Oryza sativa Japonica Group: one gene and its partners. The protein of the gene in region 2 interacts with the protein of the main gene of each other region in a pairwise test. Links are inferred from orthologs where the notes say so. Each region holds a gene or a part of one and is shown on either strand. Other genes may lie near its edges. The genes, in order: CBL-interacting protein kinase 5, calcineurin B-like protein 1 and cBL-interacting protein kinase 24.

Region 1 (3,784 bases), on a different chromosome or scaffold from region 2:
TGCTCATCATTACCATATTCCATGATGACAGGGCTTGAATTTTCAGGCAACTGGGAGTTCTTGATATGTAAGGGTTCCATAATTTATCTAACTATGCATCAATCACATGATGGAAGAAACTTTCAGATCCTTGCTTTAGTATATTCTTTCAGCAGTTATGGTGAATTTCAGAGGATAATGGAAATAATCTTGTCAGCTTAAGTGGTTTTGTTTATTTTAGGTGAACAACTTGGTAAATTGCACCATTTTATATCCTTTTCTTGTTTAATCTTGGTTCTACTGAATTCTGAAGTAACATGTAATTGTTAAAGCCAGATAATTAGTCCAGCATCCTCGGAATATTCTTTTCTACACATCAATATTTTTTCTTTCTTTCTTTCATATGTCAGTATTCCATTTTGAACATCAAAACGACTAGGAAGTGCTCAACTCACAAGATGACATCCTGGAATGCTTTGGTGGGTCTTACTTATCCTTCATTTTGTCCTCTCTGACAATTTTCCCATGTCAGTTACCATTTCATTCTTGTCATTAACAGATTTCTTTACTGTCATTAATGGATTTCTTTACCCTATTAAGTTTCAATTTCCTAAATGCTGTTTTCTGCAGGTGATGGTATGTTTGTCCCAAAGCAACAAATAAAAACTAAAAGAATGCTGTTGTCAATCTCCCTGTTTCTATTGGTGAAAGAACAGGAGATCCATGTAGACAAACTGCTACTATACAAGGAAAACTGGCAAAAATTATCATCAAAGAGCCCTAAGCCTGATGCTCAAGTGAGAATACTCTCAGGCTCAGCACTTTGATGAAAGGGAAAAGGAGAGAGGAAAATGGATTGTTACTGCATCTCTTATGAGGTTGCACTTAAATGGCATGTCTCGAGATTGACTTAGAGGACTGAGTCAGAGTTGATGACTGTGCCAGTGATGGATGCTCTGACTGACCATCCCAGCAGATGTCCCTGAGAGAAGGTCTTAGGCCCTTGTTGCAGAATTTTTCGTACTCCAACGTGTCCCCTGCAGACTTCTTCACCTCAACAACAAAGAAGGATGGTGTCACTTCAAAGATCTCTGCATCGATCGCGAGCTGCCCTTTCCTCCCTTCTTTGGATCCCTGGAGCTTCACCAGTCCATCCTGCTTCTTCACCTTGAAGCTCTCTGTCTCAGCAATCTGCTCTAGCTTTGACACTATTGCTGATGCTGGTTTTTGTGTCATGAACCGTGAGTCTGCCTTCTGCTCTTTGTCGTTCTCAAACAGGCCTGACAGATCAAATCCTTTGGAGAGGGAGATGATGTCAAATGCATTCAAGCTCACTGGCTTCAAAGAGCTTGCTGGTTCTTTTGCCTTGCCTTCATTGTCCTTGTGATCAGCACTGAAAGCAGTATGGACATCCTTGAGGTTGTTTGATTCATTTGGCTGTGATAGCATCACTGCTGGTTTGTACCCCTTCTTGAACCATGGATGCTCAACTAGCTTCTCAACGGTGATCCTAATGTTTGGATTTGGATCAAGCAGCCTGGACAGAAGCCTTCGGACATCAGTAGTGAACCACTGTGGGAACTTGACATCACCTTTGCTTATCTTCCGGTACATCTCCATTAGATTTGAGTCATGGAATGGGAGGTAGCCAGCAAGCAGAACAAAGAGTATGACACCGCAAGACCATATGTCTGCTTTTGCTCCATCATAGCCCCTCTTATTGATTATCTCTGGTGCAACATATGCAGGTGTGCCACACGTCGTGTGGAGCAGCCCGTCCTGCTTCTGACACTCCTTGAAGGCGCTCAGCCCAAAGTCCGACACTTTGAGGTTGCCATTCTCGTCGACGAGGAGGTTCTCTGGCTTGAGGTCTCGGTGGTAGACACCGCGGCTGTGACAGAAGTCCACAGCCCCTATCAACTGCTGGAAGTACTTCCTCGCAGCATCCTCCTTGAGTCGCCCCCTGGCTACCCTGCTGAAGAGCTCACCACCCCGGACATACTCCATTGCAAAGTATATCTTGCTCTTGCTGGCCATGACCTCGTGCAGCTGGACGATGTTGGGGTGGCGAACGAGGCGCATGATGGAGATCTCTCGCTTGATCTGGTCAATCATGCCGACACGCAATACCTTTTCCTTGTCAATGACCTTGATGGCGACGCTCTGGTTGGATGCAAGGTTCCGTGCATGGTACACCTTGGCGAAGGTGCCTTGCCCGAGCATGCGGCCGAGCTCATACCGGTTCATGAGGATGGACGCCTTCTTCTCCATCCTGCTGGATTCTTCAGGGATTCTTCAGTGCAAAAGAAGCAAATGGGGGGATTTGTTTACAAGCGCCTACTCTGCGCCACTTCAGGCCTCCTTCCTCCCTCCCTGATCCATGTAATGGAAGGGTGAGAGGGAGGAGAGGTGAAGGGCGAGAGTGCGCGCTGTGTTTGGGAAAATCCAAGACACGATTGGTGTATTTGGGATCCTCCTAGGAGGAAGGAGAAAAAGAGAGAGAGTTCTATGGTGGCTAGTGCTTCCCTTGTGACATGAGGCTGGGGCTCACTTCTCTGGAGATGGAAGAGGATGCCTAAAAATAGGCCAGGTGTTTGTGTTGAGCGGCTGTAGTTTTGCATGCTATTTGTAGGATCAGTGGTGCGCTCTAAATTCATCCATGTTACACCTTTACATCCTCTATGTAGTTAATACATGTGTCTTTCATGATGGGGATCTGCAAAATGAATTATGTGAACGGTGATTGAATTGCATCTATCATTGGTTTCTTTCAGATATGAAATGGATGAGGCGTTATCTCTACGATCTACTTGTGGCAATTGATAGCGTGTTCTGGGTGCAGCTGCAGGCACCGTATCATTCAGCTGCATGTGGCAAACCTAATAACATGGCATCACCCTGCATGTTACTTTTAGATTTTCTTTTAAGAGCTGCATGTGTCAAGATATGTTTCTTCATCCTCTTGAAACAAAAAAAAAAGTTCTGCAGAGTTTGGCTGTCATTAAAGACCTTAACCTAACTCTAGTGTTATGTGCACATGACTAATACCAAACCTTGCTCACTCAGTTTTGTCAGTGTATTTGTATTATATTGTGTCTATCAAAGTTACTTTATCTGTTTCATATTATAATATATTTTGGATTTTGAATAGATTTATATTTCATTTGTTTCATATTATAATATGTTTTGGATTTTGAATAGATTTATATATGGATCTACGTATATACTTTACATATGTATCTAAATTCATATAGATGTTAATGAATCTAACACGAAAGATAGAGATGCCAAGACATCTTGTAACGTGGACGGGGGAGTACATATTTGAAACCAATCATGCACTGTGCTGAATTCGAAACTTTTTTTTTCATTTTTTGTGAGAAGAACTCGTCAGGGTGTACGAGCCAAGGCAGGCCTCACGGTTAGGTTGCCAGTTTGCCACAAACGTCAAGGTTCTCGCAGGATACACGCGGTGAGCGAAAATGGGACATTTGGTTGGCTGTAAATTGGCACAGATGAATTCAGAAAATGCAGCTTTCTACTAGTCACCTTCAGATATTTAGCTAGCTTCCAATCCGTCCCATTCTGGCGTTCTCTGAACACGATTATCGTGTACATGAGACCCTTCATTACCTTCAGAAATAGGTAGATGAATTAAGTAAATAATTAACAAGTTTTAGCCATAGAATATGTCACAGCTTGCTGGCTTGCCAAAGGCCACAGTTCAAGCAATGCTAAATCCACTTATATCAAGAGCACAGGCTATTTGCATGACTAATTTACAGGGAGCCAGATACTCATCTGC
Region 2 (4,238 bases):
CCTTCTACCTGGGGATCGAAGTGCACCAGGACAACTCCGGGATCACGCTTCGACAGACCGCCTACGCCAAGCGCGTCGTTGAGCTGGCTGGGCTCACCGATTGCAACCCAGCTCTCACTCCGATGGAGGAGAGACTGAAGCTGAGCCGCGACAGCACAGCGGAGGAGGTGGATGCTACACAGTACCGACGTCTTGTGGGGAGCCTTCGCTACCTCACCCACACACGGCCGGACTTGGCCTTCTCCGTCGGCTACGTCAGTCGGTTCATGCAGCGACCGACGACGGAGCACCAGCAGGCTGTGAAGAGGATCATCCGCTACGTTGCGGGGACTCTCGACCACGGTCTCTACTACCCGAGGTGTCCTGGCAAGGCACACTTCGTCGGGTACAGCGACAGCGACCACGCCGGCGACATCGACACCAGCAAGAGCACGAGCGGGATTCTCTTCTTCCTCGGCGAGTGCCTCGTTAGCTGGCAGTCAATCAAGCAGCAGGTGGTGGCCCTGTCCAGCTGCGAGGCCGAGTACATGGCGGCATCCGCCGCTTCGACCCAGGCGCTCTGGCTTGCTCGACTGCTTAGTGATCTCCTCGGCAGAGATACTGGAGCGGTGGAGCTCAGGGTGGATAGCAAGTCCGCTCTGGCCCTGGCAAAAAACCCCGTTTTTCACGAACGGAGCAAGCACATCCGAGTGAGGTACCATTTCATCCGAAGCTACTTGGAGGAAGGGAGCATCAAGGCGAGCTACATCAACACCAAGGACCAGCTTGCGGATTTGCTCACCAAACCCCTTGGGAGGATCAAGTTCCTTGAGCTTTGCTCCCGGATCGGGATGGCTCAACTCTCCCACAAGACGGCGCACAAGACTTAGGGGGAGAATGTAGGAATAAGTCTTGGCTGGTTGGTCTTGGTCTTGTGGTGCCTTTTTTCCTGTTTTTCAGCTTTCTAGGACAGCATCTCTACTTTCAGTTTGGATGCTCTAGGACAGTTAGGACAGCAGTTTGTTGAGATGCTCTAGGACAGTTTGTTGGGATGCTCTGCTCTAGGACAGTTTGTTGGGATGCTGACAGCACCCTCTTAGACTAGCATGGCTGCATGGCTGCTACAAGCAGCTATAAATATGTATCCAATCCTCTTTGGGAGGATATGGCTTTTGTGTTTAGTGAATGAAGAAAACCAGAAAATTGCCCCATCTCGAGTGCCATCCTCTTCTCAATGAGAGTAACCATTGAAATTCTAACAGCAATTACACTATTATTGTGTTGTAGTTACGGCATATTTTTGGGGGGATTTTATGTCGAACGTTAGATAGGTAGTCCCTAATTTCATACCGTGAATTTAGCTACTGATGACGTCAAGATTATAGTTCATGAGAACTAGCAGATGTGCATGAACCTGTATGGCTTCTCAGATAGCAGTTAATGAACTTCTTCGCCACGCAAGACGCAACAAGAAGATGCAAAAAACAAAAGTGAAGATGCAAGAGAAACGCATTATGTCTAGCTTTATAGCACGGCAAATCAATATTGACAAGGCAGGAAGAAAGTGACTCAAACTTTGAACTATCATTGTGTTGTTATACTGTGATAGTAGCCAGATGGTTTATATCAGGAACAAGTTTTTTCCTATTAAACTTTGAGGAAAAAAATCACATTTTGATACACAGAAAATTCAACAATTTAGAAGGCAAACACATAATACAATGAGCGGTACAAGAGGAATAAAGGATCGGGGTGTGTACAACAAAGATTCATGCTCACTTCAAAGATGAATGAATAGAACTGCCAGCATAGCAAAACGATTCACAGAAAATGGCATCCACCACATAATTTGTGCAGCTGAAACCTGAAAGACGGAACAGTGAGAAAGGCGTGGGGGTCTTCTGGCTAGCACCACAAGTTGTGGGCTAGCCGACCCAGGTTCGAGCCTCACTCCCCTCTTAATAAATTCCGATATGAGAGCACCTCCTCTCATATCCAGCGAAAGACGGAACAGTACATGGAGATATATTCAAATGTGGCAAGGTTTAATTTTGTCATTCCACAACAAGCTACAAAAGCAGATAGTAAATGTATCAGGATGCTCATAATCACACATGACATGATGCCAATATGGTGATGAAAGACGGAACAGTAGATATATTCGAATGCGGCAAGGTCTAATTTTGTAATTCCACAACAAGCTATAAAAGCAGATTAGTAAATGTATCAGGATGCTCATAATCACACATGCCATGATGCCAATATGGTGAGATACCCCCAAGAAACAGTTAGATGTTCACCTTATTGATGAGCCCATCGTCGATCACAGAACCACTAATGCTCTTGAACAGCTCGAACAAAGCCTCCACCTCACTTACGCTAACTACACATCCAAAACAACTAACTCAGAATTTCCAGTACGCCCATCGATTGCATAAATCAGATGAACTACTTGATGAAATGAAATGAAATACAGTACTGTAGAGTACTCCTCAAGTGGCAAGTACAGCAACAACAACTCACAGGCGGTCTCGGAGGCGAGGCCGACGGGGTCCTCGTACCCCGGGCGCGGACGCCTCGCCGTCGACTGGAAGCACCCCATCCCCACGCGCACCCCGCCCAGACCCGACCCACCGGAGTAGCCGAGCACACACACCCCCTCTACCGCCGCCGCGGCCGATCTCGCATCACCCACCCCTCCACCTACCCTTACACACCCACCACCACACGCCGGCGCACTCCCCCGGCGGCGCGCGCGCGGCGGCGGCGGCGGATCGGAGCGCGGAGCACGGGAGGAGGTCGGGGTTGGGGGCGGGGGGGTTTGGTGCGCGACGCGTCGGGGTCGGAGGGGTGTCGAGACGAGACGGGCTATGCCTCCTCCTAGTCCTACTACCTACGCGATAGGTGGGCCCCGAGTCCGTTGCGCCTCGCTTTCCCCCGACTTCTTTTGGGAAAGAAGACCCGCACCGCGCCCACGTGCGCGCGGCCCTTGCGGACTTGCGGCCCATGGATTGGAAGAAGCGAAGAAGGGAGGACCTCGTCGTCGTCGTCCATTCCCATTTTGGTCAGCTGGGAATATTCGCAGATTTTTTTTTCCGAACGCGCAAAACAATTAAGTCAATATATTAAAAAAAAATATTTGTTTACATAACGCAATCAGACAGACTGGCTTATGCCAAGAAAAAGAAGAAAAGACAAAAAAAAACCAAGAAAAAGAAAATGACTATTACGACGGCTAAGCGCAACTCCAATCAGCGAGAAGGGGCAGAGCCACACGGAATATTAGCAGATCATACGATTTCGCAAAGAAATTGCAAGCCAACTTGCGCTAATCTTACCTCTCGGTCACATGCAACAATTCCAGCACTAATGTGTCATGGTTTACCTCAGCCACGCGCAATAATTAGAGTAATCTAATAGTACTACTACCACAGTAGTGAACCACGACCAGGCAGATTGTTTATGTCACATCGAAGAAATTCAACATTGTTCCAAATCTTCGATGGAAGATTCTCGAGCGGATGCTTCGAATTGATAGTAGTCCCATGGTTTGCTTGGCTCATAATCATCTTTTTTTTTTGAACGACTGCTCATAACCATTTGAAATCCCTACGAAACTAGCAAGAAAACCAAGTTAACCAACGTCTTTGCTAACGATTACTAGCTAAAACTGATTAATCAATTAATTTATCGTGCAGCCCATGGTTTGCACTTTAGAAAACCGGCCCAGCATCTTTGGAAAAGAAAAGCCCAGCTCCATGTTTCTGGACACCGCCCTCTTCTGAGCGTGGGCCTCCATATAATACGTACATGGAGCCACGTGGCAACCCGGAGCGACGAAACGGCCACGTCGTATTCACAGGACACGCCACCTAATCCACGGGCCCCACTCCTACCCCGCCCGCCGATTAGCTGAGCTGACGCGTGGGGCCCACGTGACAAGCGACGGCACTCGTGGGGGCCACGTGTCGCGCACCTCGCCGTCGCCGTCGCTGCTTCGCTTCGGCTTCAAGTCCGACCAAGAGACCCTCGTCGCTTTCCGGTGACGGCGACGAAGAGAATTTCATATCCCTCCACCTCGCCGCCTCCCTTCTTCGGATTTGGTCTGGTTTGGTTGGAGGTTAGCTCGCCTCTGATTGGGTTGGTTGGGTGGTCGGCTTCGGTCTCGAACCGCGGCGACTTCTCCTCTTTGGGTTTGGGTTTCGAGGGGGCCAATGGAGGAGAGGTACGAGGCGTTGAAGGAGCTCGGGGCCGGCAAC
Region 3 (4,101 bases), on a different chromosome or scaffold from region 2:
ACACATGGTAAAGCGCATATCATATATGTACTAAAAAAATGCCCCTAATCTTGTCTAAGGAAATGGCTTGAAATGCCCATATCACAATTTTATGAACTAGTTCAGACAATTAAAATCACAATAGCTTGAACATGGTGAAATAAGACAGCTAGAGATATTTATTTAGTGATGATGGCAGAAATATGCATAAAAATGAGGTTTAGAACCCTGAAGAGAACTAACCAACCAAATAACTGCGAGACAGGTAGAGAAACAAAGAAATAGGTAATCTCTTTCTAGTCTAACAGACATTTGTATCATACATACAAATATGATCTATAAAGAAAATCTAGGAAAATTGAATTGCATCCCGAGTAACTCGTCTAATTTTGCAGACATATTTCTTGCATGTAGTGTAGCTAATCAATTAGCTCCTTGCCAAAAAAAAAACATTTCGTACAGTTCAATTTACCATGCATTGAGAGATAGAGAGAGAGAGAGCATCATACCTCAGGAGCAACATAATTTGGTGTTCCACAAGTTGTGTGAAGAAGGCCTACTCCCTGAAATCCCTCAAAAAAGAAATCCCAATCAGAACACTTCTAGGATAGAAATACAGCATCATTAAAAGCAATTACTGAGCTTACTTTCTGGGCCAAAGTGCTAAGTCCAAAATCAGAAACTTTCAAGTTTCCACGTGAGTCAAGAAGCAGGTTTTCAGGCTACATAACATGCCCAAAAAAAGGGTAAGCATGAGATATTGCACCTAGTGAATAGGACAAATGATAGCCAAGTGTCTCTTATCAGTAACGGACCTTCAAATCTCTATGATATACTCCTTTGCTATGGCAATAATTGATGGCATCAATAAGCTGCTGGAAGTACTTCCTTGCTTCATTTTCACGAAGCTTCCCTTGGCGAGCCTACAGATATTTGATCGCATAGGTTCATATTTTAAGAAAATGCACAATAATAAAAAAATGTTCCTTTCTTTATATTGCCTATTGGGATTATATAATGGGCCTATAATTTACTGAACAGAAAGTTTCTGGTATATATGGGTGATAAAAAGAATTTACATATGGAGACACTGCCAGATTGGCACAATTCTTATATTTTTTTAGTTCAAGTAGAACAGCAGCTCATCGTTATTTCGGTAGTGTATATAATAGACTCCTTACTATTTTATCGAACAATTCGCCTCCAGTGATAAGCTCCAAGATTATGTATATCTTCGTCTTTCCAGCTAGAACCTACAAAATCATAGTAATGGTAACAAAGTAGTGACACAGGAAGTTAAGATAGCCAACATAGGAGTTTTGTTAATAATGAAAAGTTATATAGGACAGATGGCAAGTAAATATTTAGCATACCTCGTTTAGTCTAACTATATTGGGGTGTCTTACAATCTTCATTATTGATATCTCCCTTTTGATCTGTCAAGTAACATGAGAAGTGAGTTCGTAATCTAATGCCGAATTAGAATGGTTTAGTCCTTTTTTTTGTTATCATGATTAGCGATATTGCATAAACAACACAAAGAAAGTACATCTCGCATAAACTGGAAATCTGAAATGGGTGCTCACAGCAAAATCAGGTAAAACTGGTGGTCATCATTGATTTGCAGAACAGTTAAACTAAACAAACCAAATTTATACACATGAAATTGCAAACACAATTGGGGAGAAACTAAGCTTCATGGCAAAGCAGTAGGCTTAGGATTGTAGAACAGTTATATTAAACAAACCAAATATATACTTGCAATTGCAAACACAATTGGAGAGAAACCAAGCTTCATGGCATAGCAGTAGGCTTAGGATTATAGAACAGTTATATTAAACAAACCAAATATATACTTGCAATTGCAAACACAATTGGAGAGAAACCAAGTTCCATAGCAACTAGCAAATCAGGAAGCTTAGGAAAAGATTTACACCACTATAATTAGAGAACTTGAGCACTTTGCAACAAGATGCATCCTCAAAAGATGTCGTTGGATAACCATATGAACCAACTATTTGTAGCATTTCTGCAAACACCGCAAATCGAATTAAGCTACAACAGACCAAATTTTGGTAAAATCACTTTCAACACCCAACCATTTCAATTCTGCAACTGAGCTTCTGTCAGCCCAAACGAGATGAAACACCAAACAAACCGCTCGAATTAAGTTTTTCTTTCTTTTCTTTTTTTTTTTTAAAAAAAAGGTATTTTCCCCTTTGGGAGAACAAGAAATTTAAGGCTCTCCAGTTAATTCCTTATTCTTAATCATCAAACGGCAAGAGCTGCGCGCAACTCGCACGAATTAACCAGTGGTGCGCATTGCTGTCGAGGTATATTCGGAAATTCTCCATCCGCCCTCGTCGATGCGCGGCTGCTCACCATTTGGCAAACAGCAAAGCAGCAGCGGAGAGCACCCAAATAAAAAAAAGTGTAAAAAGAATCGCCCGGATCAAAGCAAAGGGGGGAGTGCGAGGAGTTTGATTTGGACTCGTGCACTGGCGGGGGCGGATGTGGAGGGTAGCGGGAAAGGAGAAGCGGGGGAATTACCTGGTGGAGCATGCGGTGGTTGAGGATGGTGTCCTTGTCGAGCACCTTCATGGCGACGGCGGCGCCGGTGTCGGCGTCCACGGCGAACTTGACCTTGGCGAACGTCCCCTGCCCGATGGTCCGCCCAACCTCGTACCTCCCCACCCGCTTCTTCCTCCCCGCCGCCATTCCCTCCTCCCCTCCCATCCGCCGCGCGGCCACGAATCCAACTCGGGGGGAAGAGGAGGAAGACGACGACGCCGCCGCGCGCGAGCTCGGCTTTGGGGGGGCTTCGCTGCCTGAATACCGACCATCTGGTTGACTGCTTGCCTATTTATGGGCTTCCACCCCCTCCGTTCTATAATACTCCCTCCGATTTTATTTTAATTAATATTTTGATAATCACACGATCTAAAAAACATATATTTGACCTTATTTTTCTATTATAATATATGTAATAAATAAATGAATGTTTAGTGTTTTGAAAGACAAATCTATATATGTTATTCTTGTTCTTTTAAACTAAATACTTTTATATATGTTGTTCTTGTTTTTTAAACTAAATACTTTTAAAGTTATGGATAGTCAAAGTTATAAAAGTTTGACTTCAATCTTATCTAAAACATCAATTATTATAGAACCAGAGGGAGTAATCGACATTTAACATAATAAATGGTTTCGATATATGGTTTTGATTAGCATATATTAAGATTTGAGATTACGATACCCCTCATTAAATGGTGTATAGGTAAGAATAGAAGGACAATTAAGGGTAAAATAGAAATAAATTTAAATGAGAAGTGATTATGAGACAATTAGTACTCTATTATGATAATTATTTTGTGACACATGTAAATCTTAGAAATACAATTATTATGGGACGGAGATAGTACAGAATAAAACGTCATATCATAAAATTAAGATTATTTTTTTCACAAAACATTTAATGCGGAGTATCATAGAATTATGTGCTATTACAAAACTACAGATTTCAAAGTTGAAACTCTTAGCACTAATTTTATCTCCAAATTATAAAATGTTGTAGTTTTATAATAATTTTGTTACTAAATCTGCAATTTTGTTATAATTTATTTTTTTGAGAAGCGTAGTATAAATCCAGGTGCCCATAACGCACACACACTCACGTCTATAAACACATACACACATACCCTACCTCTATAAGCATCTTCGGAGGACTGGACCAGTATATCTTGAGATTGATGAAGTCCATAGACATCTTGCTGTCGATGAGTACATCACTTACCACTAAAAAAATAATTAGCTGTAAATACGAGCACCCATGTTAAGTCTAAAACTTAAACCCGGATAGACTGGTTTCACCACAAGGGAATTTTGTTATACTTTATTTTAATTCTATTGTTTTGCGAAATTTGTTATTAAATATGTAGGTTTGTAGTTTTATAAAATTTACTCATGGTTTATAATAAATTTTACAGTATACTTTTAAAATTTAAAATCTACAAATTTAAAATTTAAAATATATGTAGTTTTATAAAATTTACTCATGGTTTTTAATAAATTTTAGTGAACTCCATTTAAACTATCAGAAACTATAGATTGAAAATGATATAT

Evidence for each region.
Region 1: the proteins of calcineurin B-like protein 1 (region 2) and CBL-interacting protein kinase 5 interact in binary tests that used the Arabidopsis thaliana proteins (3 or more experiments, as listed by UniProt). The link is inferred for Oryza sativa Japonica Group from reciprocal best matches to the Arabidopsis thaliana genes CBL9 and CIPK20.
Region 3: the proteins of calcineurin B-like protein 1 (region 2) and cBL-interacting protein kinase 24 interact in binary tests that used the Arabidopsis thaliana proteins (3 or more experiments, as listed by UniProt). The link is inferred for Oryza sativa Japonica Group from reciprocal best matches to the Arabidopsis thaliana genes CBL9 and SOS2.

The regions. Positions count from the first base shown.
Region 1 is NC_089035.1:5,818,508-5,822,291, forward strand, and holds CBL-interacting protein kinase 5, read right to left. Parts: upstream 2,581-3,784; 5' UTR 2,251-2,580; coding exon 865-2,250; 3' UTR 624-864; downstream 1-623. UniProt on the Arabidopsis thaliana protein: CIPK serine-threonine protein kinases interact with CBL proteins. Binding of a CBL protein to the regulatory NAF domain of CIPK protein lead to the activation of the kinase in a calcium-dependent manner.
Region 2 is NC_089044.1:22,989,610-22,993,847, reverse strand, and holds the start of calcineurin B-like protein 1, read right to left. Parts: upstream 2,832-4,238; 5' UTR 2,582-2,831; coding exon 2,503-2,581; intron 2,363-2,502; coding exon 2,280-2,362; intron 1-2,279. Other genes in the region: serine/threonine-protein kinase SAPK3, read left to right, coding at 4,194-4,238. UniProt on the Arabidopsis thaliana protein: Acts as a calcium sensor involved in abscisic acid (ABA) signaling and stress-induced ABA biosynthesis pathways. Contributes to the regulation of early stress-related CBF/DREB transcription factors.
Region 3 is NC_089040.1:24,903,936-24,908,036, forward strand, and holds the start of cBL-interacting protein kinase 24, read right to left. Parts: upstream 2,817-4,101; 5' UTR 2,716-2,816; coding exon 2,530-2,715; intron 1,416-2,529; coding exon 1,353-1,415; intron 1,233-1,352; coding exon 1,161-1,232; intron 903-1,160; coding exon 795-902; intron 702-794; coding exon 627-701; intron 543-626; coding exon 489-542; intron 1-488. UniProt on the Arabidopsis thaliana protein: Involved in the regulatory pathway for the control of intracellular Na(+) and K(+) homeostasis and salt tolerance.